Linked DNA regions of Lonchura striata. The protein of the gene in region 1 purifies or fractionates together with the protein of each later gene. This does not show direct contact. Links are inferred from orthologs where the notes say so. Each region holds a gene or a part of one and is shown in the gene's direction. Other genes may lie near its edges.

What was found.
Region 2: the proteins of CHUK (region 1) and AKT1 purify together in Homo sapiens (affinity purification with western blotting; 5 studies listed by BioGRID). This does not show direct contact. The link is inferred for Lonchura striata from reciprocal best matches to the Homo sapiens genes CHUK and AKT1.
Region 3: the proteins of CHUK (region 1) and PIAS1 purify together in Homo sapiens (affinity purification with western blotting; 3 studies listed by BioGRID). This does not show direct contact. The link is inferred for Lonchura striata from reciprocal best matches to the Homo sapiens genes CHUK and PIAS1.
Region 4: the proteins of CHUK (region 1) and RIPK1 purify together in Homo sapiens (affinity purification with western blotting; 3 studies listed by BioGRID, with this or other methods). This does not show direct contact. The link is inferred for Lonchura striata from reciprocal best matches to the Homo sapiens genes CHUK and RIPK1.

What each region holds. Positions count from the first base shown.
Region 1 is NC_134609.1:37,312,291-37,319,675, forward strand, and holds the start of CHUK (inhibitor of nuclear factor kappa-B kinase subunit alpha), read left to right. Parts: upstream 1-4,246; 5' UTR 4,247-4,319; coding exon 4,320-4,376; intron 4,377-4,445; coding exon 4,446-4,540; intron 4,541-5,959; coding exon 5,960-6,074; intron 6,075-7,385. Other genes in the region: CWF19L1 (CWF19-like protein 1), read left to right, coding at 711-822, 1,540-1,619, 2,436-2,645, 3,030-3,149, 3,827-3,924, 3,999-4,143.
Region 2 is NC_134608.1:8,656,628-8,664,938, forward strand, and holds the start of AKT1 (RAC-alpha serine/threonine-protein kinase), read left to right. Parts: upstream 1-5,207; 5' UTR 5,208-5,307; intron 5,308-6,007; exon of another isoform or gene 6,008-6,026; intron 6,027-8,311. UniProt on the Homo sapiens protein: AKT1 is one of 3 closely related serine/threonine-protein kinases (AKT1, AKT2 and AKT3) called the AKT kinase, and which regulate many processes including metabolism, proliferation, cell survival, growth and angiogenesis.
Region 3 is NC_134613.1:23,417,464-23,424,876, forward strand, and holds the start of PIAS1 (E3 SUMO-protein ligase PIAS1), read left to right. Parts: upstream 1-4,252; coding exon 4,253-4,381; intron 4,382-7,413. UniProt on the Homo sapiens protein: Functions as an E3-type small ubiquitin-like modifier (SUMO) ligase, stabilizing the interaction between UBE2I and the substrate, and as a SUMO-tethering factor. Catalyzes sumoylation of various proteins, such as CEBPB, MRE11, MTA1, PTK2 and PML.
Region 4 is NC_134603.1:94,905,413-94,913,678, reverse strand, and holds the start of RIPK1 (receptor-interacting serine/threonine-protein kinase 1), read left to right. Parts: upstream 1-4,915; 5' UTR 4,916-4,996; intron 4,997-5,784; exon of another isoform or gene 5,785-8,266. UniProt on the Homo sapiens protein: Serine-threonine kinase which is a key regulator of TNF-mediated apoptosis, necroptosis and inflammatory pathways.

The sequences.
Region 1 (7,385 bases):
AACCACTTTCCTGTGCATTCTTGCTTCAGTCTGTGCTCACAACACTGCTTGGCTTTCCCGTTGGGATTCTCTGTCCAAAATTCTGCCATGGGAACAGGCTGGGGGAGCTGGGGGTGTTCAGCCTGGAGAAGGCTCCAGGGAGAACTTTTTGTGGCCTTTCACTTCTTAAAGAAGGACTATAAGAAATACAAGAGTTTTTTCCTCTTCAGCATTAAAGCCTTCTAATGGCATTTGGCTTTATGGGCTAACTCACTCAAATGTTTTCAACCTCTGATGTGTCTGTGACACGTTAACATCTCTAAGAAATAAAGCTCTTCTTTTGGCATTGGCTGGCAAATGAAAATATTTTAATAATCCATAAAACCAGGCAATTCTGAATGTTCAGCATAAGGCTGAATAGGAGAGCATAATCATTTGGGGCTGCTCTCCCTGAAGTTTTTCCCTGACTGTAGCAGGTGCATTACTAGGAGGACAGGTCATTCTGTTCCAGGGAGCTTTGGAGTGCCCATCCCTGGAGGTGTCCCAGGAAGGGCTGGAAGTGGCACTCAGTGCTCTGGGCTGGGGACAGGGTGGGCACTGGGCACAGGGTGGGCTGTCAGGGATTTTCCAACCTAAACGATTCTGGAAAAAACCAAATTCTTGTATATCCTGTCACATTCTGTGATGCAGTTCTAACTGAACATCTCATTCACTTTTCATTTCCTGAACAGGAAGAACCAGCTTGTCAGTTTTTCTTTGACTTGAACAAGCATCAGGGAAAGAAACGTCCCTCAGAGAGGAAAGAGGGAGGGGACTCCCAACCTAAGCAAGCCAAGAAACCCCGTAAGTATGAGGATGCTTTTTTCCTGAGCTCTTCCCTCGAGGCCTTGGATGGACCACATCACTCCAAGTTGTTCCTCAAGCTGTTGAGCTGTCGGTGTCAGCTGGCCAGAGAGCTCTGTCACTGCCAGCTGCTGGGGGAATGCAGGAAGATGAAGGATCCCTCTTTTCCAAGGGAAGATTGGCTTCAGTAGGTGAAAGAAGGGTCAAGAGTGTAGTTTCAAGGCTCTTTGGGTCTGTGGTGGTTGTGGTTGGGCTGATGGCATTTACCCTCTGAACCAGATATGGCACTTCCAAAAAGCTCAGCTCAGGTATCACAGTTTGGGTGTGAATCCAGGTGTTTTGGGTGTGATGGATAGACCAGAACTGACAAGTGTGTTTGACAGCATCTGCCCTTGTCTTTACCTGTGCAGTAATTTTACCTCATTTTGATTTGTTTGCTTATCATTTGCTGGTGTTTTCTTATTAGTGAGCTGCAGCTATTAACTCCTGGAACTACTAAGCTCCTCCTTCATTAGGTTACAGCATTCCAGGAGAATGGCAGTCAGCATGGTCTGACTGCCACTACCTCCTTTCTTGCTGGAATTTCCCTGGCCAGAGCTGTGTCCTTCTGACACCTTCAGCACTTTATAAACTGGGAAGGGTGTCTGGAAAATACCAGGTTGTCTGTGTTGTGACAAATATCCCTTCTGCTAATCCTTGATTTCTTTCCCAACAAAGCTCAGCCCACGGGGCCCTGCTGGTTCTGCCTGGCCAGCCCAGAGGTGGAGAAGCACTTGGTTGTCAGTATTGGCACACATGTAAGTACCTGCAGCATGGGCTTTGCTAGGTCAGAATCATGCTAAGAGATGGCAAAACAAAATAACAATCTCCGATTTTAAACATAAAACAAACTTTATTTGCAGCTGGCTCTTGGGTTTGCCTTCAGTTCCTTTGCATCTCCTCTACAAGCACATAAGCTTTTAAAAAAAAGTGAAGTGTGGCCCAGTTTTGTTCCAGCAGCAGAGCTGGATTCCAGTGCCAGAATATTTTTTCCTGTCCCAGCCCTCTCTTACCATCTGGCAAAACTTTTCCAGCTGGAAAAAAGCTGGAACTTGCTTTGGGAGCAGGATGCACCAGTGCCAGATCTCTCTGGGGTGGCTGGTTACAGTTTTGTTCTATAGAGATGAAAAAGGTGTCCAAGATGTACTTCAAGATGTTGACTTTGAAGCTCAGTCCATCATTGTTATATGCACTTTCTGCTCCTGTATAGCATAATCCACTTACAGGGACAGGTTTGTCCACAGGTTTAGTTCAAATTTTTAAGTGGATTTTTGTGTCAGAATAAGAAATTCCTGCCTCACTGGTGAAGTTCACTCAGCAGCTTCCCTGCAAAGAAAACATTCCTCTGGCATTCAAAAGATTTTTTTTTTTTGTCATTTGGCAGTCTCTTTGCCTCTTTCTCATTCTTCTAGTGATTAATAAATTCAGTGTAAAAATAAAATAAAATGGCTAATAAAGAATCCATAATAAGCAAGATAAAAGACTCTCCTTTACTTGTGGCTACTCAGACTGAGTAGTCAGAGGGTGAATTCCTACAGCACAGTGAGTAACTGGTGTGTGTTGTTTCACTCTAGTGCTACCTTGCCCTGGCCAAAGGGGGTTTGTCTCCTGACCACGTCCTCATTTTGCCAATTGGGCACTATCAGTCAGTGGTGGACTTGTCTTCAGAGGTGCTGGAAGAAGTGACCAAGTACAAGGCTGCTCTAAAGGAATTTTTCAGAAGCAAGGGAAAGAGATATGTCCTATTTGAAAGAAACTATAGGAGTCAGCATCTGCAGCTACAGGTATGGTTTGGGTGTTGCTCTGGGAAAACATAAACTTGCACTGAATATAAACTCCAGATGAACACAAAGAGTAATTTTGGGGTTTATCATGGTGGTTTCTGTGTGTGCAGGTCTGTAAGTGTATCAGAGCTGTATCAGAACTACCACAGAGATGAGAAAGGAGAGGGCTGTGCTGAGAACTTTCAAGCCTGGGGTTTTCAGCTCTGTCCAGCTCCTACAGGGTAAAATGTCTCATAAGTTTAAGCCTGTAGAGATGGGTGCTCCCCTATCTTGTGTGATGAGGCTGAGCTGTACTGAGGAGCCCATGAGCTCCAGTGATGGACTGATGGCTTTCTGCAAATTCATTGTCTCGTCTTCTTTTATGGAAATGTCCTCCCTCTCCAGGTCATCCCTGTCCCACTGGACCTCTGTACATCTGAAGACATCAAGGAGGCCTTTATTACACAAGCACAGGAGCAGCAGATTGAGCTGTTAGAAATCCCAGAGCACTCTGATATCGCGCAGGTATGGGGCCAGATTTCACCTCTTTGCTCCCCCTGTGTCCTGCCTAAGCTGTTTCCCTCTGAGGTCACTGTGTGGGGTGGGGCCAAGCTGTTGGAGGCAGAACCTCATCGACTTGGTTTGGGGATGTACCAGGATTCTGCTCTGGGAGAAGTTCCCAGGTTCAACAGATGATTTCTCAGCTAAGAAATGTGAGCATGGCCTCATCCTCCAAAAATTGTATGTAGTAGGCTGGGTGACCTAGATGAGGTTAGGAACAACGAGACCTGCCTGGTTCTCATGTAGTCACTCACGGCAGAATTAAACCACAAAATGTCATAGGTGATCCCACCAGGAAGTGACCCACTGCTCCTTCCTCCCATGGAAGGTATTGTTGGAGGTGAGGCACTGACCTCAGGCAGTTTATGGGGTTATTTTTCCAAATTTCCTCCCAGAAGAGAGCATGGCATAGCTGAAGTGGCCGGGAGGAGGGTCTGCCTGTCACCTGCTCTCAGAAGGGTGGCCAGGAAGGGGCTGCCTGGGGCGGTGGTGGAGTCGCCACCCTGGAGGTGTTTAGGGTGCAGAGTGGGCGTGGCAGCGCCGTGGTCCAGCTAAAGGGCGGTGGTGGGTCCCAGGCTGGGCTCGATGGAGGTGTTTCCCAGCCGCGCTGATCCTGTGCTTCCGTGGTTCCCTCGGCACAGGTGGCTCAGCCGGGGACGCCGTACTTCTACGTGGAGCTGGACTCGGGGGAGAAGCTGTTCCACCGCATCCGCGGCCGCTTCCCGCTGCAGTTCGGCAGGTGCGCGCCGGCCCGCCCGCTCCCGCCGTGACGTCACGGCGGCGGGCGCTGACGTCACGGCGCTGTCGTTGCAGGGAGGTGCTGGCGAGCGAGGCGCTGCTGGCGCAGCCGCAGCGCGCGGACTGGCGGCAGTGCGCCGCCCCGCGGCCCGAGGAGACGGCGCAGGCGCGCGCCTTCCGCCGCGACTTCCAGCCCTTCGACTTCTCCCTCCGCGACTGAGGCGGCGCTGCGCGCGCTGCCGGCGCCGGCCGGTGACGCGGCAGTGAGGGCGGAGTGCCGGAGCGAGCGGCTGAGCCATGGAGCGGGCCGGCCCCCCCGCGCCCGCCGCCGGCGAGCGGGCCCCCGCCGGGGCGGCGCTGCGCGGCCACCCGGCCGGCGGCTGCGGGCCCTGGGAGATGCGCGACCGCCTGGGCACCGGCGGCTTCGGCAACGTGTGCCTGTACCAGCACCAGGTGGGGCCGGGCCGGGCGGCGGGGGGGGCACGGCCGGGCCGGGGCGGCTGACGGCGCTGTGTCCCGCAGGACTCGGGCGACCGCGTGGCCATCAAGTCGTGCCGGCTGGAGCTCAGCGTCAAGAACAAGGACCGCTGGTGCCACGAGATCGACATCATGAAGAAGTGAGTGCGGGCCGGCTGGCACGGCTCGGCTCGGCTCGGCACGGCGGCAGCGACAGGGAGAGGGGCCAGCCGGGGGTCAGGCCATGGACTAGCGGGCAGTGCGGGGAGTCAGCCCCGGACCGGCTGCGGAGATGGGACCGCGCTGTGGGGACAGCCGGGGGTCAGCCCCTGGGCCTCTTGTCACCTGGCATGCCTGTGCTGCTTTATCCCTCATCCCAGTGCCCCAGCTCCTGCCTTGGCCTGGGAGCTGGTGATCCCCAAGCCCCCTGCCCTGTTGTGCCACCTGGGCTATTCACCCATCGAAATTCCTCCAAACTCACACCACCCTGTGGGTTGAGTTCTGATGTTGTGATTTGGGAACGCCCACATGTTCCCATACCGTGCGGTACTTTTGGTTTTGATTTAGCAACCAGGGGATCCTGGAATTGCTTTTTTTTCTGTCACGCTGCCGAATGTAAAGAATAAATTCTCCTTCCACTTCCTTGTGAGAAAGTCCATGCTATGTGCTGCCCAGCCTCCCTCTCCAGTGGGTGAAACAGGGCTGGACAGCTTTGGTCTCATGGATGTGGGGGCTGCCTCTGGGTGTTTGGGTCTCACAGAACTGCTCCTGAGAGAGAAAGAGAGATCTTGGAGCAGGAAATCCTCTGTCCCACTGGTGGGAGCAGGGATGCTCTGAGTTGTCCTCCCCAAGGCCTGCAGTGACCCTGGTGTTCAGGGCTTTTCTGAGCTCCTGCTGTCGCTTTGTTACCCTCACCTGCTCACTGTGTGCCATGACGTGGGAAACCACTTGCAGGGAACACGAATTTTTAAGTCAAAGCTTGGGTGATGTTTGATTTGGGTGCTGGAAACAACCACTGAGTTATGAGCTGCTCTTGCATTGGTGTCCAGAGGCTTTGGAAGATGTAGAGGGGAATAATTTGCTTTCATTTCCATCTGGATATATTAATTCCCAAGACTAGCGTGTATTAGAGACAGTCAGGAAGTAGCTGTTTCTGTAGCTGGAATTCAGCTGCAGAAGTTAATTTTTCCCTCTGAATGTGGCTTTCACCTGCCTGGTGCAGTTACACAGGTGTTATGGGGTTTTTGTGAAATGACTGGGCTAGGGGAGTCTGTTCCTACATACACACACACACATGTAATGACACTGCCAGGATGGTGCAAGAATTCACAGCTTGAGTTTGGATCCCCATCACCAAAGTCCTGCACCTTGCATTTGAGACATCAGTTCTGCTCGTCACTGGTTTGTGTATTCCCAAGGTATGGGTTTTATGCATTTGGGTACGGTAGGTACCAGCTGATGAGTGAGTAAGGATTCCTGTGGGGAACAGAAGCTGTCCCTGGAACATAAAACGTGGTTACATTGCAAGCTGTTGTCTCATTCTCCCAAGAGAATTTTCATCCAGCTCTCTGTGTGCTTAGGCTGAACCATCCCAATGTGGTCAGAGCCTGTGAAGTTCCTGAGGAGATGAACTTCCTGGTGAACGACGTTCCTCTCCTGGCCATGGAGTATTGCTCGGGGGGCGACCTCCGCAAGGTAATGCCTGCTTGGCTTTCAGTAAAAACCAGATACCACTAACCCAAACAGGGCGTGGTAGCGCTGCTCCTGTCACCAGGCCTGCTCTGTGGAGCTTCTCTCTTTGGGTATGATGTCTAGAACAGAGTTAAAGAATAAAGCAGGGATTTATTAAAAGGATCTCCTCAATGGATCCACCTTGGGCAGCACAGGACCCCAGCCAGGGCTGCACACCAAGATGAACCAAAATGGTCACAAAATGCACAACTGCTCTCGGGGTCTCTCACTTTTAGTTCTGCTCCATTTGCGTATTAGAGTTAATTATCCAATTACAGCTCCAGCCCATGAAGTCCCATCCTGCTAGTTTTTCTCTCTTCAGCCCACATTGTTTGTGCTCTTGGGCCTGAGATTTGGATCACTTGTCCTTGGTCCCCAGCTAGAGAAGGAATTGTTTTGTCTCCCTGTTCTGTGCAGAGAGCTCACCATCCCATAATGTGAAGCTCAAACCCACACCCTAAAGCAGCAGAGAATCTAAAAAATATAAAAGCTAAACCCTGAGGCATCAGGTACACGTGTGAGGAAGTTAATGTAGAGTGGGAAAAAAAATGTGTGTGGGAAACGAGGCTTGTGTTTTTGAAAGCAGAGGGCAAGCCAAGGGCAGATACTCTTTTATCCTGGTGTGTCCTTTCGTGGAGCTGCTTTAGCATTAGTGCAGCTGCTGCCACCCAGCAGGTTTGGCTTTGCTGCTGTGTCTCCATCTGTTCAGAGTCTGACTGGTTGGGATTCATGTGTATCCAGTGTTATGTTGCAGTCAGCATGGGGAGTGAGCCTATTTCTGCTGGACTGGGACCTCCAGGGATTCTGAAGCTTTGCTATTCCTGTTGAACTGGGAACTGCCAATCTGCACACTGGCAACACCCAAAAATAAAGGAGCCTTTCAGTAGTTCTCCAGGCAGTGGCTTGGTGACCTGGTAGAGTTTGTGCTCCCCTTCCATTACAGCTGGATTCAGGAAGCAGCAATTTCTAGAGGGGTGAAGCAGCAAATCCCCATCAGGATTTGCTTAGAAATCACCTGGGGAACAGCTCTGGGGAACGTCAGCCAGTGGTGAATGCAGTAATCCCATCTCTTTATATGGTTTTGAGTTGTTAAAAACAGTCCAAGAAACACTGTTAAGGTTTAAGTCGCAGTAAAAGAAGGAGCATATATACAAAAGCATTTGAGGTTTGCAGAAACAGGCACCTGGCCACTGTCCCAGAGACATCTGGCTGTTGTATTAGTGCAGTAAAAGTTTGGAGACTCCCTGAAGGCAGATTAGAGACCCTGGCTGAGAA
Region 2 (8,311 bases), on another chromosome or scaffold:
GTGTGCATGCAGATGCCATTAAAAACACACTGAAGAAATTACAAGCAATCTCCTCTCTTCTAGCATTATGAAAATGATAAAAACACTTGCCTGTCCACTGGGTAAATGGCAAAGGTATATGCACTTTACAGGATATGGGAAGCCCCTGTCACCATAATGCTTAAAACCTTAAAAACTTGATTGAAACTCTTGCTCTTTAGGAAACTGCAAATGTCATGATGAAGACTGAGCTGCTCTGTGCTCCTGTCAGCTGGAGATCCATGTGGCCAGAACCAGTGCTCCAAGAACCCACTGCTGAGCCTGTGCCCATCCAGCAGAGTGGCTGCTGCTCCTTTGACAGAGATCTGTATGTGGGGATCTGCAGGGGTAATCAACCACTGAAATAGCCCCCAGGTTAATATGCCCACATTGTGCTTAGCTCTGTAATTTTAGGTGAAGAACATAATCAGCACTGGGTGTGTGAGTGTTGGGAATGCAACAGGAACCTGAAAGTTTTTGGCTTTTATTTTAGTATGTGCCTATAATGTCAGTACTTCAGTCTCAGAGGATTTGCCTACCTGACTATAGTTAAGATCGTGATGTTCTCTCACACAGATCATTGGAGTTTAGCTTTTTTGGGTATCTTTCCTGATCTAAGAATTCATGACAAGTCACTTTACAAGGAAGGGAGAAAACCAGCAGTTTGAAGCAGACTTCAGTCCCTTAGGATCAAAGCCCAAGTCTTCTGATGAGCCTACAGCACCAAACGGTGCCTAGTCCAGACTGAGAGTCGTGGTTATTGCAGTGGGGTATGGCATAGAACTGAATATCTGCTATTTTTGCATGCTTTATTTAGTGAATCTTCTATGCAAACCACTTGGGTTCCTGTTTACGTATCAAACTCCCCACAGCATATCTGCCCCTTGTCATGGCTATCATTATTCCTGGTGAAGAGGAGTGTACTGCTCTCACTTGGGAGTTAACAGCAGTGACACCCTGCCATCCTAGGGCTGTCTGGCTTTAGCATCCCAGGAACAGAGGCAGGAAACCACAGCAAGGTCTCCTGTCCAGCCTATTCTAGGACTTTCAGCAAGCCATGAGGAAGAGCAGCAAGGCCTCATTCAGTGCTGCTCTCCAGCAATGTTACCAGTTCAGATGATAGCAGTTTTGTAGGAAATTAATTGGAGAATTACAGACGAACTCATACATCTATTTAGTCTCCAGATGAATTTCTATAAAGCAAATGCACAATGTTTCAGCATGACTATATTTATTATTTTTTTCCAGAGAGCCTGCTATTGTTTTGCTATTGAGAAATACACCTTCAAACATTGGATTAGTTAAGTTTTAGAAGCACAAGTATGTTTATTATATTTGGCACTGTGAAAAGCACTTCTAATTTCTATTTATATTGAGCTAGATTCTTCACTGAGACCAAAACTGTGTTGTTTGTTTAAAAGCTATTAATGCCTAGACTGAGATACCAGCTCTGTGATCCTAATAAGATGTCATACAGTTTTTTCCTCTGAGTACAGCCCACCTTTTAAAAAGGGAGGAACAAATTCACTGTTGGCCCACAGAGGTGCTGTCATTACTTGAATCATGGAACAGAGCTTGTTCTACTGGGGGTTAACTCAGTAATTCCACTTCATCTTACCATTCTAATCTTTCTTCTAATGCCTGACTGTATTTTTATCCAAAGTTTCATAATTTAAAAATTTAGAAATAATTTTTAAAAGTGATACTGAATTAATTGTTACCTATATATGTGTTAAAAATGGGTGGGAACAGGAGTGCCTGCTCTTTTGGCGTGGTATCAATACACTGTCTGGAAATCATCCATTCTTTGCCACTAAATCCTACATTCAGTATTTTTGGGTAATGTAATACCAAGGCTCAGTTGATGCATCTTATCCTGAAGCACTTAATAAACTAGAGTTAACAGATGTGAAATTTGAAGAAGCGCTCAGGGAATCTAGGGACTTCCCTGAAAATTAGGGTTTATAGACTATAATCCCACTGATGATAGCTGAGTGATAAAACCCACATTGTTTGTATTTATAACAATTCTTGAGTGATTTCATTGTTCTCAAAGAAAAAAAAAAAGCTGCTTTTGTTCATTGTTGATACAAAGTCACTCTTGTTGTTGCAGACCAGGCACTTCCTACTTTACCTGGGTATTTTTATCCACAGTACTTTGCTGTGTTTGAGAGATAAGCCCTTACTCCAGACTCTGAATCACACTTCCCTCTCAGATTTGGGGAATGTCAGATCCAGATCGGGATCCAAACTTTCTAGTTTGGGCCTGTCTTTCATCATGGTAAATCAACAGTCGGCAAATCTAAACAATATGTTCATGTTGAAATCTGGAGGGTTTTTTTAATTGTACTTCCTTTCTAGCAAACAACGGACGTTTATTTTCTTCTCTTCAGGACAGAAAACTGTTTACTCTGTGATCTTATTTTTTAAACTGCTGCTTCATTTGCAGGGGGAAGTCCTAATGACCTTGCTCACCACGAAGCCTGGGAGCTTATCAATCAGGAGAGGGTTTGTCAGGAAGGTGAGAAAGCTCTCCTGAAATCAGATCTATTACCAGAGATCCCCCTGCCCCCACTGTCTCACAGCCAGTGAACTCCTATACTTACATGCACTCTTTACTTCTAGATGTAACTACAGCCTGAAGACTCAAAATTAGTTGATAAATTAATTTTGTCCGTGTTTTTGTTAAGGAAAATACATGTCCTCTGAGCTGCCCGCAAGTTTTCCACACTGATGATGAATTTAATTTTAAATACATCTTTAAGGACTACCTACATTTTAATACACACTACGTATTTTGTAAGTAATGCATGGTAGGTCAAAATGTGATCACAAACCCAGATTTTTCCTTTCCATTAGCTTTACATCTTAGAGAGTTCCCACAGCCATTCAATTCTGCCCTGGGTAACTGGGCCAGTACCACGGGGCCTGCTTACTCTGCTAAAGTACCTGAATTGTACATTTTTAAAATTGTGCTGAAATATGCCCCAGTAAACCTAAAGGTGACACACAGAAAATCCCACACTGGCGTAGCTGCTCTGCCAGCAGGAACTACTCTGTACATTGGTGGGAAAGGAGGCATTACTCTTTCTTCACCCTCCATGAAGAAATGGGAAACATTTCTCCTCTGCCTTATCGTTGGCTCCTCTAGCACACCAGCGTACCCAAAATCCAGGAATCCATTTGACACTCGGTAACCCTGATTACAGATATGATCAGTCAGACCTAGCTGATCAAAACGGAAGAAGAAAGTGAATTTCAATAAACATTTACAATCGTCAAAATGATGTGGTAAAAAAGCCTCTTATTATATCCAATAAGTTTGTAAAGGCAGAGCTGTATTCCCTAGCTTTACTGCTGTAAATGCGTTTTATGCACTTTTATATTGCCAACGGTGCATAGCTGTGGGAAGATGTGCCGTTTCCTAAATTCCAGCCAGCTTCGGATTGCAGAAATGTGATCATCAGTGATCGTATGTTTCTGAAGAAATCCAATCAGTTCTTACAACCCAGTTAACGTTTATGGCACTGTCAATTTGAGAATAAGCAAGATCTCTTAATGACCGAAGAAGACAAATTTTGATAGTGGAAGGGCAGAGAAATGTTAATCTGTCATAGGGGTTTCCACAGCATTGTTTTTAGAGCAGAATGGCTCTCAAAAACCTTACCAAAAATATTGTCATGCTGTAAGCAATAGTTTAAGCAATTTGTCATGTTTTGAGCCATTCCTACTGTGAAAGCAGGATGGCCTCGAGTGCAACATCCAGAATCACTACCCCAGCCCCTCCATGGGCAATTCCTTAATGCAGCCTGTCCAATGTGGAAAGGGATACTGAGCATCCTCCCAGGTACTCTGGTACCTCGTTATTTAATCATCTGGTATATTATAGGAATACTGTAAGGGAAAACTCTGAGGGCAGAGAAGCAGAACTGGCATCCCATGCTTTTGGGGAAGCTTGCTGGAAGCACCCCAAGAGGTTTAAAGGAGCCTGGCCCTTCCTAGAGTCTAAAATGCTGGGGCTGCCTGAGCCTCTCACCTATGTGGGGCAGGATGCCTCATTTTTGGGGATGCCCTTTGTCCAGAGAAGGGCACTAATCTGGTGAAGGGCCTGGAGAAAAAGTCTTACAAGGAACAGCTGAAAGAGCTGAGGGTTTTTAGCCTGGAAAAAAAGGAGGCTCAAAGAGGATCTTATAATTCTACAGAACTCCCTGACAGGAGGGTGTAGGCAGGTGGAGCTCAGTCTCTTCCCGGACAATCAATGACAGGACCAGAGAACACAGTCTTATGCTGCACCGAGAAAGGTTTAGGCTGGACATTAGCAAAAAATTCTTCACAGGAAGGGTGTTTTGACATTGGAATGGGCTGCCCATTCCAGTGGGAGGTGATGGAGTCACTGTCCCTGGAGGTGTTTAAGGAACGACTGAAGCGGCACTTAGCGCCATGGTCTGGTTGACGTGGGGCGATCGGTCATAGTTTGGACTCGCTAACCTGTCTTTTCAAACCTAATTGATTCTGTGATTCTGTGAAATTGTCCATGCTCCAGGCAGCCGGCTCACAGGCCGAGTCAGGAGAAGCCTCGTCCCTCCCCTCCCGGGGCACAGCGTCCCCACCGCTCCGGCCCAAGGCCGGGCCGGTGCCAGGGGAAGGGGGAACACGGAGCCGCCCGGGGCCAGGAAACGCCGCCCCCGGGGCCTGGGGCCGGGCCGGCGGGTGGGCGGAGGGGCCGGGCAGGCGGGCGCTGCTCCGCCGCGCTGCGGGAGCTCGGAGGGTGGCGAGGCCGCGAGCCCCGTCCGGGGAGCGGCGCTGAGCGAGCGGGGCGGCCCCTCGGCTCGGGCGGGAAGCGGCGGCGGCGGGGCCCGGCGGCCGCGCCGCGGAGGGTGCGAGCGAGCGCCGCGGGACGAGCCCGGCCCGGGCGGCGGCAGCGGGCCCGGGGCTGCGGGGGGAGGCGGCGGCGGAGAGAGGCGAGGGGCGGCCTCGCAGGGCGGAGCGGCGGGGAAGGCGAGCCGGCTGCCGGAGCGGGCGTGCGAACCCCACGGGCCGAGCGTCTGCGAGAGGGGGAGGAGGAGCCGCCCCGCCGCCCGGGGATGGTGAGGAGGAGGCGGCGGCTGCCGGGAGCCCAGTGAGGCCTTCGCTCGGCGCCCGCCGCAGAGCCCGCCCGCCTCGCCGGCCGCCCCCTTCCCCCGCTCGCTCGCTCGCTGGCTCGCTCCCCCCTTCCCTCCCCTTCCCCTGACTCCCTCCCCAGCTCCCTTCCCCTGCCGCCGCCGCCGCCTCCTCCGGGGCTCCAGCCATGTAAGTGACCCGCTCTCCGGCTGGGAAGGGCTGGGGGAAGGAAGCGCCGGGGCCGGGGCCTGCTCGGCGCGGCCGCATTGTGCGGGGCCGGGAGGGAAGGGAAGGGCCGGGAAAGGGGGCGGCCGCTTTCCCTTCGCCTTCCCCGGGTGTGCGCTGCCCCCGCGGCCCCCGGGCACGGCCAGGCGGGGTGGGGGCGAGGAGGCCCGGGCTGCGGCCGCCCCGGCCGGTCGGTCGGTCCTGCCGGCGGCCCGGGGCGGACAGGAAGCTGTTGGCTCCCCGGGGATGCGGTGGGAGAGAGGGCGGCGGGGCGGGGGGCTCCTCCCGGGCCTGCCCCCGCCCCGGGCCCTGCGCGAGCATCCCCCGGGGAAGCGGCGGTGGGGGCGGCTGGGGGGTGGTTTGTGCTATTTGTGAAACAGCGGCGAGCAAAGTAGCCGAGGGCCCCCCATTTTCCCACCTCCCCCGCCCCCATTTTCTCCTCTTGTCTTCTGCGGCCGCGTTGTTCAGCCCAGCTCCGCTTTGCGGACCACTGAGTGTTTGCCGACGGGGTTGTGATTCCCTCCGTGGGCATTTCGCGTGTGTAGGTGGCTGTGCAGCGCTTGTGGACTTGAATTTTTTTTTCTTTTTTTTTTTTTTTTCTTTTTTTTTTTTTTTTTCTTTTTGCAGTCGTGTTTTGCAGAGGTGTAGGGAGCTGTCTGCCGAATTCCCCCCCACCCCTCCAGGTGAAGCAGCTGCCGAAATGTTCTTAGAGACTTGTAGGACTTGTGTCTGCTTCGTTGTAAAACCCATAATCAAACATATAAACGTTCTGGTACTTTCAATTTATTTTACTGACAGGACGCTAGTGATGCAGATACAGCTTGCACCTTATTGGTGGTGTGTGCCCCCCCTCCCCGGCCACCCTTTTGGGAAATATTTAACTGTTTTGCTTTGTTTTCCTACCACCTTTATCATGTAAGAAGCAAATTAATGATTTGCGCTAGTTTGTTTTATTTATACCACAGGAGGGACGTACATTTCAAAATACAGTTATAAAAGGGAGTTACTAACACTTAATGCTGAAGAGTATTTGTTTGCAGGTAAATAAATTTGACATACTGCATGACTAGTAATTACTTTCATGTAGTAGTTTCATGGTGACAGCCACAACATTTGTCTGAGTTAGCAGATTTAAAGACCCTGTGGAACTACCTTTGATATTTTTAAATAATAGGGTTTGTGTTGTGTGTGGCGTTTATAGAACTGTTTTTGGTGTGCAGCAGCGGTAAATCAAATTTAAAAATTGATCCAGTGTCCACAATTCACTTTCAGCTCCAGTGTTCACTTTACAGTCTTATGAAAATGTCCTGTAAGTGATTACATTAACAATTAAATAGTTACACAACTGTCTTGATTTCTTTGGGGACTGAACAAAACTTCAATTACAAATACTTCAAAATGGAATTTGATTAAATCTATCTCAGGTAGGCAGCGAAGTTCTGAGCAGCACAGTTCTTAAATCATATGAGCATAAACTGTAAAAGGACTTGTTCTTGTTTGGGAACATAAAGAAGATTTTGTCTGGGCTGCAGAGGGGCTTATGAAGAAGTCACTTTTCTGCCATCCCTCAGTTTTGAAATAGGTAGCTTAGTTTGTCCTATCAAACTGTTGTTGTGTTTGCAGCATGGACAGTTGGATGTCGTAACTGTGGCCCCTCGCCTGAACAGCGTTAACCTCCTGTCTATTGATCAGCAGAGGCAGGAGAACACAAATATTTCAAATTACTGTTTTGTAAACCTAGATTAGGCTAATAGATTGAAAGAAAAAAAAAAAAAAGGGTGAGATGTGGCTGTAGAGATTTTTGTTTTCCAATTACCATTTTCCCCATAACTTAGTATCTGTGAATCCGTTGCGAACCTTGTGATCTGCTGCACTTGCTGCCATGAAATTCCAGCTTAGATGTGGTGTCATTGGACACACACAGCGCACAGTAGTAAATACTGGTGGCCACACCTAAGTCGTGGCCCACAATGCCTTTTTTGTAAGGGAAGCTAAGATGGTGGCACAACCTGGTCCTTCTAAGCTTCCTTGAAAGCTGTCTGCCCAGATTTGGTAACTGGGTCATGGTGCAAAGCTGCTGCAGGCACAGAGGGCCTTGAGCACGTTGGAATCACTGTTGCTCCTGTGAAACAGCCAGGGCAGGATTTGCGTAACGCGGGAGATGTACTTCACTGGTCAAAGCCTGGTGGGAACATCTATCTGTACGCTCCACTTGAAATGTTGGCTGGAGCCCAACTTTGTTGTGTCTGTGCTGTTTAGGTGCCGTTGGCTGTCAGCTGGGAGCACTGGGAGGAGAGAGTAGGTTGCTGGTGGCATCCCGTGTAACGGGCCTGAACGCACCGCCCTGGCCCAGTCCAGTGCTCGTGTACCTTGTCTGCTCTCATGAAAGTGTCATGTGGCCACAGTAGGCAAACTTGGGTAGCTGGATTCCGTTTTGCCTGGTCCTGCTGCTGTGCATTATGAGAACGTGTACGGATGTGTAGCATGTTTGAGCTCAGAGTGTCCTGGGAGAATCACGAATGTGCCACACCAGGGCAGTGGGCATCAGTAACTGGTGGTGTGACAGGGCAAAGTGTTAGCCCAGGGGAATGCTTTTTTGTAATCTGCTTTGTGATCTGGGCTAACAAGTGCAGCCCAGAAACAGTCTGATGTGCCAGGACTGAGGCTGGTGGGTCAGTCTCCCTTTAGTCCCTTGCTTACTCTCCCTCATAAAGATGAGGTGATTACCATAGGTGCTCCTGCATCCCGTAAGCTTAAGCTTCAGCTTAATGGAAGACTTCCTTTTCTTTCTGATCTGCTCTAGGGCATGAGTGGAAACAAATACAAAACTTTACATTGAAAAGAGGACAGGAAGTACAGATTTGTATTTCTACTTTCTTAGAGAAAAAAGAAGGTGAGGATAATGTATAGAAGAGAATGAGAGAAAGAGCTCTAACACAATTCTCCCAAATACGGAAAAAGGGGTTCT
Region 3 (7,413 bases), on another chromosome or scaffold:
TTTTCACTAAAATATTTCTCTTTCTGTCCCTCAGAAAAGGGTGTTTCACACATTTCATGCCTGCAACAGCCTCAGCAGTAAAGGTATTTTAGTGGCTTGGTCGTGTTTTCTATCAAGAAATAATAGCTGAGAGTCTATCATTAAATCAGTTTTATTCAGGCTCAGAAATGCCCTTGTGTTACTTTTAGGCAAAGAGCAAATTTGGATTATTAGACAAAGAGGAGAAACTCTTGGCTACTCGGACTAATGAAAACAACATGTTCACAGAAAAAAATGCATATCTTTAAAAATATTATTGTGTCTGAACATGGCTTTGAGCATGTGAGTTATGTGACACGATACGTTTTTGGGGAAGTTACAGAAGAGGAGAATAAAAGAAATGGGGGGGTAAGAGACAAATTCTCAAGTCATTTATTTTACTGCGATGCGGCCAAAAGGGGGAAACACAACTTTGGAAAATTGGGAATTGAAAATATCAAAATTGTGGAGGTTTGAGGGAAATCTTGATCTTTCATTTTCTCTCTCCGCAGAGGTCAAAGCTCAAAAAAATATTAGCTTTAGCTCAGAAGCAAGACAACCTGAGGATTGTTTGGGGCTGTTCTCCCTTACTCCAGCTGCATCCCAGTATTTTCTTTTGGAAATGGAGAGAAAAATTGAAGATTTAATTTTAATTTAATTTTTAAGATCTGAGTGCTGCCATGACTGCCACAGCTGGAGCCACTGCGAGCACCTCTGGAAATGACTGAGTGTTGACAAAGGCTTTTTTTGGCAATAAACCATCAGCCGAGCCTCGGGAGCAGAGAGGAACAAAATTTCACTACATGTAAATAATGGCCTAAAAATAGAAGCGCAGATTGTTTTTCTCATTAAGTTCCTTCTCCATCCTCCAGTATATTCTGCACTGAAAAGGGAGTGACTATCAAAAAGCCCAAACTGAAAAAAAAAAAATGAAGAGCCTGGGCGAGGTTTGGCTGTAAAAAACACCGGCAGGAGCATTTTAAACCCGATTTTCTGTATCCCCTTTTTTAGTTCGCTTCCTTATTTTAATGCAGCCGAAGCCATTCTGGGGCTGTTTTATTTGAAGGCAGTTTTGAGAGAGGACGCTGTGGTTTATGGCCACGTGTCAAGTTTGATAGTGTTGTGCCATGATTTAGCAAAACACTCGGAGCACACGTCCACATCCCACTGAATTTGGTAGGAAGTGGAGAAGCAGAGGAAAAGCTGTTTGGCTGTGCAGCAGCCTCATTCAGGGGGGGAAAAAAATCAAAAGTAATTGAAATAAAGCAAGGATTTTTCTCCACACAATTACAGAGCTTTAAGGCCGAATTCTTTCAGCTCGCCATGAACTCATTGATCATGTTAGATGACGATTATGACACGTATTTAATAATTTCAAATTAAGGGTTCTGCACTGGGCTGCCTCAGACCACTGAAATAGATGGGCTAATTCTGGGAGCTGTGGGCGTGCTGGAGTCATCTGATTTTATTTTTTTTTAGCTGTCTCACCCTGCCCCCTCCCCAAACCAGCCTTTCAGACGCGGAGAGAAATCTTCATTGCACGCAGGATTGTCCGGGTGTGCTCATCAGCCTCCTCTAATTGCTGCTCGTTTCCTGAGTGTGGCAGGATCCAGGAGAGCGGGGCCACCGATGGAGTTGGGATGAGGCATGAAGAAAGAGGGGTGTCAGCTCCCCCGATTTTCTGCCAGTCTGGAGGATGTTTCTGGGTGAAACGCTTGGAAATGGAAAGTTTGGAAAGAGATATGAGTTGTTTGCTTTGCTGGGCGTATCAGGACTTTATATATGCTCACCATAAACATGATGCCATCAAAAATCACGTATCATTTATATATACGTTCATATATTTATTTTTATATATGTTCATCTATTTATGTATGCTCATATAATTTATATGTGTTCTCTTTCTAGGTTAAGTATACGTGACCTGTCCACCTTGGTCAAAATCCATACAGTTTTGTCATGGATTGATGGAATGTGACACATCCTGATACCATTCCATTCTCATCCCTGCTTTACTAGGAGTTGTTTTCCTCAGGACTGCACATAAATATTCTTACCAATAAACAGCATTGCATCAAAAAGCTCCTTAAACACTTTTGACACCTCTCTCCCATTCTTCCCTCAACACAAACCACTTAATTTTAAATCCTGGGTAACCCTCTGAGGCAAATGTTATAAATTTTGATTCTGTAATTACCCCAGGTTCCCTGCACTCCTTGCTTGAATCTGCAGAGTTGGGACATGAAATCTTTATTTTATTTTCAGTGCCCATCCTCTAAGTGCTTTGGGAATGGAGGATGATGGATTTTACGGCAGCTATGGAAAAAGTGGAAATTTTGTTCTTTGTTCCGTTCTGTGCATTAAGGTGAAGGCCAAGGAGAGAAATTGTCATGGTGATCAATATTTGGGGAATAACACCCAGGTAGAAAGAAGCTGAATCAAGCTATAATGACCTGAACACTAACGTTTAATCCTCCCAAATTCACAACTGATGCATCATCTTGCCAGGCAGGATTTTGGTAGGTATTTTCCCCTCTGGCTTGCTGTTGGAAGAACACAAATTTCACTCAAAACTGACATGAAATGGGTGCATTTGGACCTCAAATCTGTTGTTACTTTAAATTCCCTGAAATAAAACTTGTAATTTCCTGAAAAACTGATAATTTCCAGCTTGGTGCACACCAGGAGCTGGTGTCCACTGAGGTACCCCGGCCTCATCCCTTTCCACTCCTAGAGGTCTCAAACCTGTGCATTAAGTAGCAAAAATCTGTGAAAAATGTGTATTTTATGATTGGCTTCTCGCAAATGTTACAATGAATATTATATGTGTAACATTAGGAAGTTCTGCTGTATTAATTCTCTTAAGTGGCGTGTTAAATACAGTTTTAGGTTACAACACAATGTTAAAATAGAAACTCTGTGATACAGGATTTGTTACAAGCTCAAGCAGGAGGATGAGATAATCGAGAAACTCTTCACACAGAGATGGCAGCGAAGGGGGCCCATACAAAGTTCCTCCTTCTCAGAAAAAAACAAACATTCTTCCACCTTAAGGAGAAAAGTTCTTAATTTGCAAAGAATTTATGCATCATGTATGAGATACATGAATATGCAACAGGCTGTTGCTTTTATGGTTATTCCTTTGTTCACAAAGTCTGCTTTTTTGTGACTTAGTGTCCGAGAGCATCCAGACATCCGTAATTCTTTGCTTTTTATTGTCTTGCATTTGTCCTAACTCTAAATTTTATTACTCTAATAATTTTTTTTTAATAATAATTTTATTATTACTGAAGTTCTAAAAGATTTTAAAAACCAAGTGATTGGCGTTTTTCGCACTCTAATTATATTACTATTTTAATAATGATTTTATTATTACTATACTTAAAAAAAAATTTAAAAACCAAGCGATTGGCGTTTTTTCACACTCTAATCACATTACTATTTTAATAATAATTTTATTATTATTAAACTTCAAAAAATCTTTAAAACCAAGCAGTTTTCACACTTTAATTATATTACTATGTTAATAATCATTTTATTATTACTAAACATAAAAATTCAAAAAACCAGGTGATTGGCGTTTTTTCACACTCTAATCACATTACTATTTTAATAATAATTTTATTATTATTAAACTTCTAAAAAATCTTAAAAACCAAGCGTTTTTCACACTTTAATTATATTACTATTTTAATAATCATTTTATTATTACTAAACTAAAAAATTAAAAAAAACAGGTGATTGGCGTTTTTTCACACTCTAATCACATTACTATTTTAATAATAATTTTATTATTATTAAACTTCTAAAAAATCTTAAAAACCAAGCGTTTTTCACACTTTAATTATATTACTATTTTAATAATAATTTTATTATGACCAAACTTCTAAAACTGTTAAAAACGCGGTGATCGGCGTTGTTTCACGCACCGCAGCTGCACGGTCCCGTGTTAATAACCGCATTTACCACCGGAGGAAGGCGCTGCCTGTGGCGCCGCGGGGCTGAGGGGAGCAGCCGGGGCGCCCGCAGGGACGCGCTCCCCTCACGGAGCGCCGCCACCAGCGCCAAACTCGACGGGCAGGGCGAAGCTCTACGGGCAGGGCGAAGCTCTACGGGCAGGGCGAAGCTGACGGGCAGGGCGAGGCTCCAGCCCCGCGGGGCGGCCCCGGGAGCCGCGGCGAAGCGGCAGCCCCGGCGTGAGGGCGCGGAGCGGCGCGGCCGGAGGAGGCACAAAATGGCGCCGCGATTCAAACGCTGCGCGCTGCGGGCGGGCGGGGCGGCGGCGGCGGGGCGGCGGCGTCCCGGCGGGGTTCACTGCGCCTGCGCGCGGAGTCGCAAGATGGCGGACAGTGCGGAACTAAAGGTAAAGCGCAGCTCTCCGCGTCCCCCCGCGGCGCCGCCGGGGCCGCGGCCGGCGGCGGCCCGCGGCGGGATGAGCCGCGCCGGAGCGGCCGCGGCGGGGCCGCGCTGGCAGCGCGGGTTGAGAGGCGGGGTGGGTGCGGAGCGCAGCGCGGAGCTGCCTCCTCTCGCCGCACCCCCCCACACACACACTCCGCCGGCCGCGCTCCGCCGGGCGGCCCCGCCGGCAGCCGGGGCAGCGCGGGCGGCTCCGCTCCGCGGCCGCCGGGCCGGGCGGCGCCGCCGCGGGTGAGGGCGGCGGCCGCGGGGAGCCCCCCGCGGGGTGTGGGGGCCGGCGGGGGGGACGGCGCCGCGGCGCCCCGCGAAGTTTGCGAGGGGAGTCCGGCGGGAGCGGCAGCGGCGGTGACAGCGGCGGCGGCGCGGCCCGCCGGTAAATAAAGAACGTCACAGGCAGATGTGGAGGAGTTCCGCGGCGCTGAGCTGGCGGCGGTCCCTGTCATGCTGCGGAACGCGGGGGGACGGGGCGCTCCGAGCCGCCCGGCCGGCGGCCGCTCCGCCCGGGGCGGTTTCGGGGGGGATTTGGGGGGATTTTTCGGGCGCTCAGCCCGGAGGGAAGGAGCTCCTCCCGCTCTGCCCGACGCGGAACTTGGGCTTTCCTAAAGCGATTTTGAGGAAGAGCGGTGGCAGGGTAGAGGGTGGTAGGCACCCACCCGAAAATCCCAGGGAAAGACCCCCCCGAAACTTTGTGCCCCGCACACCCTGCAGGGTGTGAAAAGTTGCGGAGTTTCCTCGCACTTTTCACAGGCTCCTTATTCACCGGGAGGGCTCCTGCCTCCTCCTCCTCCTCCTGTAAAGTTCGCGGAGTGAAGGGCTGGAATCAGGTGGGTCTGAAATGGGTACGGGCACAGGCGTGTTAAACGTGTAACATAAACTACGGAATGGCTCGGGTATGACTAAGGAAATATTTGGTCTTTTCCTAGAGGTTTGGTAGATCTCGGTTTTCTGACTATCAAAGGTACCGTGCGCTTTCGTTTTTAGATGCTTAAGGAGCTGTCAGCGGGTTAAGAAATATTAAATCTTCGGTGTGTTCTGACTTGTGTGGGTCAGGACCCTTCAGATCCTCCTTTAAATCCTCCTCTGGCCTTCGTTTTTCTGCGTGTCTTCAGACCACATTGTATTGCTTGAGCTGTGTAGTCCTTAAGCCTTTTTTCTTTTCAAGCTCTGCTTCCCACATAACGAGATCAGAGGGTTAAGATGTGATTCCAGTGCTCAAGTTTTTGTCAATTTTAGCGTGGCAAATGGAATAGTGTGTTTTGGTAAGTAGCAGCGAGAGTTTGGTGGTGCACAGCAGCCAGCTTGGCTTTACGTGATGCCTTTATTAGCAAGAGTGACTCAAAGGGAGTTCAAAGAGATGGGAGATAGGGAATAAAGTCATTCCAAACCCCTTCATTGATCACTGTTAGAAGTCTCCTTCTCGAGAACCGGTAGAGAAAAATCAGAGTTTTTAAAATTTATGTTTCGTAAAGTGCTGTTGCTGCCTCAGGGATGTGGAGGGTGAATGCCAAAGTTGCTGTTTTATTCTCAGTTTCAGTTTTCTGCTCAGGTTGCGGCTGGAGTGGTACTTGCAGGCAGGGACTGGAGGATGGCAGTGAAAAGTTGGGCATTTTTTTTTTCTGCAGCCACGGGAGCTTGGCAGTTTGCTTAACAAAAAAGTAATTACTTCATAAATTCATGCTTGGAAGACCTCAGGACATTCTGATTTTTTTTTGTTTGTTTTTTTTTTGTCTTTAGACTGTACAGAATTAAAAAGCTGCGTGGGTGGGAGCCGCTCCGTCAGGAAGGAGAGGGGACACAGAATCTCCTGCTTGGGCTGGGAGCTGTCACCCTGCAGCTCTCCAGGCTCTCAGGTGCTGCAGGAGCTCCTCAGAAAAATGTGGAAAGCTCTGACATCGTGGCTGGGGACACTGGGGATTTTTTAAAAAGGAGTAAATCCCCAGAAAACGTGCTTTTAAGTTCTTTTTTTTGGGAGTTGAAAGTAGCTAAGGGACGGTTTGTGATTAAGACTCTGCTCTTTGAAGAATGACCAGTGAATTCCTTTAATTATTTTCTTAGGTAAAACCTTGCACGGTTCTCCTCTGATTAATTAGCAAATGGGATTGATTTCAGATTTAGTGACTTTAAAAAACTAAAATCAACTGTAATACTTGGGCAGGGACTCTTTTGCCTGGCCAGAAAAAGTTTGTTAGAAAAACTTACTCAAGTTTCTAAAACTTTGTTGCCTTCCTGTGCAGAGAACCCTGGGGCTATGTATGGGGAAATTAGGGAATGTGACATGTGGAAATTAGGGAATGTGATATGATGGGTGCTATCGCCAAAGGAAAATTAAAGTTGTTGCTCCCTCAGAAAAACAGTGGTCAGTCTTACTTGCCACAATTTTTCATGGCGTTTTAATCATGAAATTGCCTTTCCTCTAATTTATTTCCTTACCACAAGCGAGGGCCTTTCAGCCTTTTTTGCCCCCATTTTTGTTTGTTCTGTGGAGGGGAAAAAAAAAAAAATCAGATAAGGTGAAACCTGGCTTTGCAGATCCCGGCCTGGTGAGGTTCCTGAATTCCTGGGACTGGGAAGGTTGGGGTAAATTGAAGCAGGATGTTTTCCTTTCTGCTGCTGAAACAAGGTAACTGCAAAGTTTGTTCTGCTGCAGAGTTCTCCCTCACTCCATAGGCTGAGGCGTATGTGAATTTTCCTGATCTTAATTACTATTCCTGTCTAATTGCACCCAGACTCTAATTTATCTCAAGGTAAGCTATTTAAAGCTCTTTCTAATTGGAAGGAGTATACTTGAGTGATTAAATCTTTCCTTCAATATTTCTTACATCTCTTTAAATTGGTTATTAGATTGTTGTGATCTTCGCCTTCCACTCCAGCATTTTGGAAATCATTACACAGTTTGCAATAATCAATTCAATTAACCACGGATCAAAGAGTGAAAAAGAAAAGCTTATGTTCAAGTATTGTCATTCTTGATACTGTCCT
Region 4 (8,266 bases), on another chromosome or scaffold:
CAAAACTCTGAAATTCTCTCTGCTCACATAAACACCGTCATCCTGCCTCCTTGTGGTTGATAGCACACATGGTGTTTCATGGCAGATTATACCATTGCTGCTTGTGAAACAGTATGTGGCCACATTTATTTTAACACTTTTTGTACCAATTGACACTTCTTTTTCCTTTGCCAGGGAATATGGTGCCCATACTCAACCTTTAAAAGCCCAAGATGGATTGTGATAGTGCTATATTTGTGCCTTGGAGCAACAAAAACCACGTTATGACTAGTGTTGCAAAAGGATGTACCATTGCAAAGTGTCTTAAACAGCTGGAAATCCTTGTGGGCAGCCATAGGCTTCTCTAGATTAAATCTAGGCTTCTCCAGATCCTATCTATATAGCAATATTAAAGCTATGACAGATGCCAGAAAAAGAAAAAAATAAATATGTATGTAGTGATATGTGCATTAATTTACCTTCCTTTGTAGACTACAGCTCCCTTTTGTAAAGTATGCATCTTTCCAAAGTAGAGAGAAAAAGGAATCCTGTCTGTAGCCTGCCCTCTCACACCAGTCAGTGTTGGTGTTTGGGTCTGGAGGGTGTTTGCTTCCCCTCCAGCATCAGCATCAATCAGCTTCCTTGGAGATCTCCAGCACCAGCAGATAGTGAGGCAGAGCACTAACCCGAAAGCCTGCAGATGCACTGTCTGTATATGGGTCAGGATCTATGGGATAAATGAATTGTCTGGCTCTTAATATCCAGGATTTTTACCTGGAAATGTAGCAGTGTTATTTTTGTGCTTTAGAGTTGTTAACCCTGTTTGTGCATATGGCAAGGGGGTGGGTTTCTCACTTAGCTACTGAATTTCTTGCTTTGACCAGCTCACCTAACAGCTGCCTTTGCACTTTGATATTAAAAGACTGTGGCCACTGTAAGAACCCATTCCCTGAGTCCCTGTCAAAGACAACTAAGCCTCTATGCATCTGCCATACCTGCTTTGTGGCAGTCTTATCACACCCCAGCCTTACAGTTCCTTAGGGACTAATTGGATAATAAACATGCTGAACCCAAGCTCTGGAGGCTCTGTGTAAACTGATACACCAGGCTGGGAAATGCCACCACAGGAAAAGGTCAGTCTTCCTGTTTGCTCCCATATGAAGCAAAGGGCCACATTCAACAGAGACATTTCCCAGGAAGCAGAGCTGCCCCAAGCTGTTGCAGATGTCTGCTGTGAGGTACGTGAGCCAGAGTCTTTAGGTTGCAGAAGCAGAAAATTTGCTTTGTCTCAACAGCTTTGTTATAGGAAAAGGAAAGTGAAAAGGAATAAGGAAGAAAGTACTACACATCTAAGTTGTGGAGAAAGCAGATTCATGCCTTAAAGACTTAAGGAGAACAACTTAAAGTTACTGAAAGAAATCTGAGCACAAATTTTAAAATTGCATAGAAGAGAAATCATCCTTCTATTCACTGTGTTCAATTAGCAGACTATTCAGGAAAGAAGGAAATTGAGGTAAAAGCAGAAGTTGCAATGTCAAACCAATCTTACTGCTTGGGATCAATTGCAGAGCTTAGTGGGGTTAACTATTAGATGAAGAATGTCAGACTGACCTGTATGTTGAGGATACTGTGCTTGACACTATCTGGCAGACACATGCCAGCTCCCACACATGGTAGCACTAAGTTTAGTAAGTTGGTTGAGATTTGTAGTACAAAGTATGTGAATGTTGAGATTAATGCAAGTTCAGTTAAAGTTGAAAGAAAACTAATGGGCTTATTAAATTCTCATTAATACTAAAATTGAAGACTTCTGCTCAGATAAATTCATTATTGAGAAAAGCACTAAAAATGTACCAATCATTTTGTCCATTTCAAGAGAATCTTTCCTTCTCCTCTATCAGAATTAAGACATTTCTCTGTAAATTCAGTTTGCATTTCTGGATCAGTTTATTTTCCCTATTCATTTAATGAATTAATGTCAAAACTGGCAACACCAACCTCCAAGCACATACAAATAAATGACAAATAAACCTCTTTCTTTGCATAGTGATTGTTGGCAAATCACCACTGAATGAGACTGACAAGTTTTTAACCAAGCAATTCTAATAAATTCAGCTATCTCTCTTCCCATCTTTAGACCACACCTTTGGCCCCATACCCAATGCAAAGCTAAACAGCAGAAAAAGCAAACCAGACAAACCAACTGACCATAAAAAGGGGAAAAAAAACCCTTAGAAGTCAAATGTAATCCAAAGTTTTCTGTGATGCTTGGGCTTGCAGAAGACAAAAACTGAATAATTGGCCCACCAGAGATGGTGGCCAATTATAACATATTTCATGTCTATATTTGCATTTGCTTTATTTACCTGACAAATGTCCCAGACTCTCTGGACTGCAGGTTCAATAAAGCTCTCCTTGTGATACCTCACAGTGTGGATGGACATAAAATTGCAGCATTTAAACTACAGTGAGCTCAGTGTGACAAGTCAGCATTTGGTCCTGAGTCTCCTCTTTACAGTAAGTGTGATCAGCCCTTACATCAGGAGCTGTCGGAGCATTAAACTCCAGTTTTGTCTGAATACCAGCTAATCCAGCATGGGTGGAAAACAGGAATGTGCTGGTCCTGCATCAATTCTTCTCATTCCACTGTCAACTTCCGTTTTTCTTTTTTTTCTTTTTGCAAAATCCTAGAAAGAAGTTGTTTATTCAGTTTGCCCATCATAGGGCAGTTTCATAATCAGAGAGAAAAGTTCTCCTTGAAAGTGATCACCAAGGCTGTGCTATCTCTCCAAACCCAGGGTCGCCCGCATCGTTCCGTGTCCCACCTGTCTTTCCCATGCGACACCTTCCAGAAAGCCAGAAGGGAGGAGCCCCTGCTCCCAGCAGCCTTGTGTGGGCCAACACAAGGCACAAAGCAGACAGTGCCATCCCTGGAAGAGCAGATAAGGGTAGATGGATGGTTTAGGAGCTCCTATATTGCATTGCTGACCATCAAAGGAAAAAATTTAAAACATAGTTGTGGGCTGATGCTGCCCTACCACGTTGATATGCTGCTGCTCTTCTGTCACTACCACTTGAAAGTATCATAGGGAATGCAACAGTTCTCGAGAGTGGGAAAGATCATGGTAAAGACATTAGACACTCGTTATCACCAAACTTTTCAAAGAGGAATGGCAGTGGGAAGGCCCTTCTGTAAAGAAGCTGTATTAACTACATACCTGACATCCAGAAGAGGCTGAACTACATGATTTACAGTGACTCTTTTGGTTACGTATTCCTGCAACTGTCCCTAGGGCTGTCATCTGTGTTAGTAACTCTGTTGACAAACAAACTCCTGCCTCGGGCCTTCCTGAACACAAAAAAATGCCCACATATCCAGCACTAAATATTCCATAGACAAAGGTATTTCCAACGCCTTGAAGTCCCACCCTGCTCTCAGAATCAATAGCATCAGCAGGTTTTCAAGGCTCATAATGCCCAGAGAGCTCAGGCAGTGACAGGATCATGGTGTGGCACTGATCGGACTGCCCAGATAGCTTGGCAGGTGACAGAGTTACTGTGTGGCACTGATCACAGCCCCCAAACAGATGGACCAGCATCAATGTGTGGCATCAACCCTAGTGCCCAGAGAGGTGAAGCAGAAACAGGGCTACATTGTGGCAGTGATTGAAGTGTCTAGGGAGCACAGGAATCTACAAAGTTGATTCTTGGGAATTATCATAGCGCCCAGAGATCTCAGGCAGTGACAAAGACATGATGTGGCATGGATCATAGCGCACAGAGATCTCGGGCAGTGACAGATTCTCTTGCGGCACCAATCAGGGTGCCTAGAGAGCTGAGGAAGAGACAAAGTCACTTGTTGGCAATTATCATAGTGCCCAGAGAGCTGAGGCAATGATGGAGCCACCGTGTGACACCGATCACAATTTTCAGAGAGCTCAGACAGGGACATATTCTCTGCTGGCACTGATTGTAGTTCCTGGAAGACTGGAGCAGTGCCAGAGTCAAGACATAGCACAGATCAGAGTGCCCAGAGCTAAGGCAGTGACAGAGTCATATTGTGGCATTGACGGGATCGCCCAGATAGATCAACAGGTGACAGAGTTACGGTGTGGCACCTATTGCAATCCCCAAAGAGATGGAGCAGCAGCAGTATCAAGATGTGACACTGATCGTAGTCCCCAGAGAGCTGTAGAAGCAACAAAGTCACTTGGCAATTATCGTAGTGCCCATAGAGCTGAGGCAGTGGCAGAACCATTGTGTGGCACCGACTGCAGTGCCCAGAAAGCTTAGGCAGGGACAGATTCTCTGCCAGCACTGATCGCAGTGCCCGGAGGGCTGGAGCAGTGACAGAATCACGGTGTAGCACGGATCAGAGTGCCCAGAGAGCTCAACAGGTAATAGAGCCACTGTGTGGCACGGATTGGAGTGCCCAAGCATCTCGAGCAATGACAGTCACCATGCAGCAGTGATCGCAATGCTCAGAAAGCTCAGACAGTGAGAGAGCCATGGTGTGGCACCGATTGGGCTGCCCAGATAGCTCAACAGGTGACAAGAGTTATGGTGTGGCACCCATCGCAGCTCCCAAAGAGATGGAGCAGCGGCAGAGTCAAGATGCGACGCTGTTTATAGTGCCCTGAAGGTTGAGGCAGTGACAGGGCCACAGGGTAGGAGCAACTGGTGTGCTCAGACAGCTCAGGAATCCACGAAGTCACTTCTTGGGAAAAATATAGTGTCCTCACAGAGCTGAGGCAGGGATAGAGCCTGTGCGCCACCAATTGCAGTGCCCAGAGAGCCCGGGCAGGAACAGATTCTGTGGCGGCACCGCTCGCATTTCCTAGAGCACTAAAGCGCTTAATGCAGTCAGTGGGCGGCACCCGCGCCGCTTCGAGCCTTCCGAGCCGCCTCCTTCGCTCCGCCTCCTCCGGGACCGAGGCATAATTGAAGGGGCGCTGGGGCGAACCCCATTGCCAGCGGCCCCCGGAGAAGCGGCAGGACTCTCAGAGGCCAGAGCACGGTAAGGCAGGAGCGCGGAGCGGGGGCAGCGCAGTGTCCAGAGAGCTCAGGCAGGGACAAAGTCACGTTGTGGCACCGATCGCACTGCCCAGAGAGTTCGAGCAGCGACACAGACACACGGTGGCTGACGGAGTCAGGCTATGCCACCGATCAGTTTGCACAGAGAGCTCGAGCTAGTGCCACAGTCATCGTGTGCCACCGATCACTGTGCACAGACAGGTCGACAGACGACAGAGGTACCGTGTGGCACAGATGGCAGTGCCCAGACAGCTCGGCAGGTGACAGAGGCAGGGTGTTGCAGCGATCGTACTTACCGGAGAGCTCGACAGGTGACAGTCACGGCGTGGCAATGATCGTAATACATAGAGAGCTCAGGCCGTGACACATTCTCTTGTGGCACCGATCGCAGTGCTCAGAGCTCAGGCACTGAAAGATTCTCTGCAGACACCGATCGTAGTGCCCGGAGGGCCGGAGCAGCGACAGAGTCACGGTGTAGCACGGCTCGGAGTGCCCAGAGAGCTGAGGCAGCGATAGAACCATCGTGTGGCACCGACCGCATTGCTCAGCGAGCTCAGGCAGGGACAAAGCCAAGGTGTGGCTCGTGGATCGTAGCGCCCAGAGATCTCAGGCAGTGAGAGATTTTTCTGGCGGCACCGATCAGGGTGCCCACAGAGCTGAGGAAGCGACACAGTCACTTCTAGGCAAGTATGGTAGTGCCCAGAGAGGCGAGGCAGCGATAGAGCCGCCGTGTGGCGCCGGTCGCAGAGAGCTCGGGCACTTTAAGGAGTCACTGGGCGGCACCCGCGCCGCTTCGAGCCTTCCGAGCCGCCTCCTTCGCTCCGCGTCATCCTGCTCCGGGACCGAGGCATAATTTAAGGGGCGCTGGGGGCGAGCCCCATTGCCAGCGGCCCCCGGAGAAGCGGCAGGACTCTCAGAGGCCAGAGCACGGTAAGGCAGGAACTCCGGAGAGGGGGCAGCTGGACGAGGCCGCGCTGCTGCACCGAAACCGAAACCACGGTGGCGACCCCGCGAGCGAGGGTGCGAAGGGGGGTGACGTTCCGAGGTGAGATGGCCGGCGGCGGTGTTAGCGCCCCGTCCCATCCCGCAGCGCTGCGGAGGGGCTCCTGGGCACGGCGAGCGGGAAGCGCTGGGCGAGGGCGCGGTACGTAGAGAGGAGGCGGCCGCGGCGGCAGGAAGCCGGCGGGAGGAGAAGGGCGATAAGGCAGATGGGCCGACGAGGAACTAGGCCAGAGCAGCCCCGCGTTAGCGCGTCCCGGCTGCCGCCCAGCAGGCGCTTTTGGCCGCGCGAGTGGCAGCGCCCGCGGCGCCCGTCTCCGACAGCTACGGCCCGGCGCCGCAGCCGAGACAGCCTTTCCCGATCCCCATATGGAATGCACACTTTTGTGTCCAGAACCGACTGCAACACCTTTGCACGGGTACTGGCTACTGCACAGATCCCATCCTTTCCTCTTCCCACGCTGCCTCTGCTCCTGTGAAAATTTGTGTTGCATAACACCTTTGTTTCCCTTGTATTGGCTTCTCCTCCCTTTCCCACGGGTTCCTGTGTAACTTGTTGACGATCTGACACAGGTATTGTCTTTGCTATTTCCAAGAGGAAAAAAAAGTGGGGGGGAAATCATTCCTTAGTGAAAAGATGCATCAGCTGAAAAATCTGAGCAGAAGGGAAAGGTTTAGATGGAGTGGGTTATGACATTTACAGCAACAGATCTGAGATACCCTGTTTTGAAACATCATTGACAGAGGCAATATTTTTGTTATCAGCTATAGCAACCCTTCTATTTGTCTCCTGTTGGTCATTTGGGAATACCAACTTTGGCTTCTGTTCTTTATTCCGTTCCATTACTGACTAATAACTCAGTGGCCGCTGAGTTTTGCTGCTTGTAAAGGTGCTAATTTTCTCCAATTAAAGTTTAACACCTCTTAGAAACTTAGGTGCTGGAAGCATCATTAAACTACAAAGGTTCCATGTTTTTTCATATTACTGTGCTAATGTGCTCAGTGCTCCTCCTTAACCAGGCAGGCAGGTCACATCATTACAGATTAGAATTTGCATCAGATCAGATGCAGTTAAAACTGAGCAAAGCACTTTTGAACAGTGATTAGGAATATGACATGATGACCTAATGTCCAGGTTATGATTCTTGTGAATTTATATGCCCTTTAGGCATTAGAGGAGAGGACATAACCATGGTGTTAAAAAGAAAAATGCCACAAACCCATTTAGCACAGTTCTATCCTCTTCTGAAGAACACCAGTCATATTGTTGGACATAACTTCCTCTCTTCTAGCAAATGGTATTCAAAATTTTCATAACACATGTTGGTACTTGGTAAATATGAACCCAACCGAATACAAATGTTCAAATAGTATACAGGAAGAACTGCTTTAAAATTAATCAAGTATACAGATGACAGCTACTTCACAGAACATAAATTAACCACTAGAAGTATGCATACCTTTTGTAAGGGCTGGCTAAATTAAACTACAAAATTTTTATTATCTTAACCACAGATACATAATGCATTAATTGGTGTGTCCTTAGTATTGAGAATACGTATCAATTACCCTGTATTTCAAAGAAGGTTGGGGTGACCCTGAGTCTTTGAGCTTCCATCCTTGTTTTTTTATAATTTGACATTTCAAGCTATCATAAGCCAATATCTCATGTTAAATAGAATAAGTAGTCTTTGCTTTAAAGCCTGGCTAGACATTGTTTTCCTGTGATACTCATTCTTTGAAAAGTTCCCCAAAACACTGGGTTTGAAATAAGTAATTAGATAGAGAGCTTCTATTCAGAGTACCTCATTACTTAATAAGAACACCAAAAAAAAGCAGTAGCATTTTTCCATGCGCAAGGGGGAAGGTTCCCTCCCATCTAATAAAAAAACTTCCCTCTTCTTGAATGTTACACAGCTCACTTCAACAGACATTACAATTTTAAGTTATTATTTCTTTTGAATTTCCAAGACTTTTGGTCATAGTGACTGCATGTAGCTTGATTGGAAGCAACAGGTAATTAACATTGTAAATAGGAACAAGGTTCTGCATTTGTTGCAGTTTTGGGCAGAGATATTTTTTGCCAGGTTATATGGTACTGATTGCCAGTCCCAAGCTATCAAGTGATATCAATGCAACTTTAGAGATTCACCATTCAAAAGTACACATCTTCACACACAAGTCTTATAACTACTACCTAGATGCTTAATTGCTGTTAGCATGGAAAAATTAATATACATAAGTGACTTCAAAC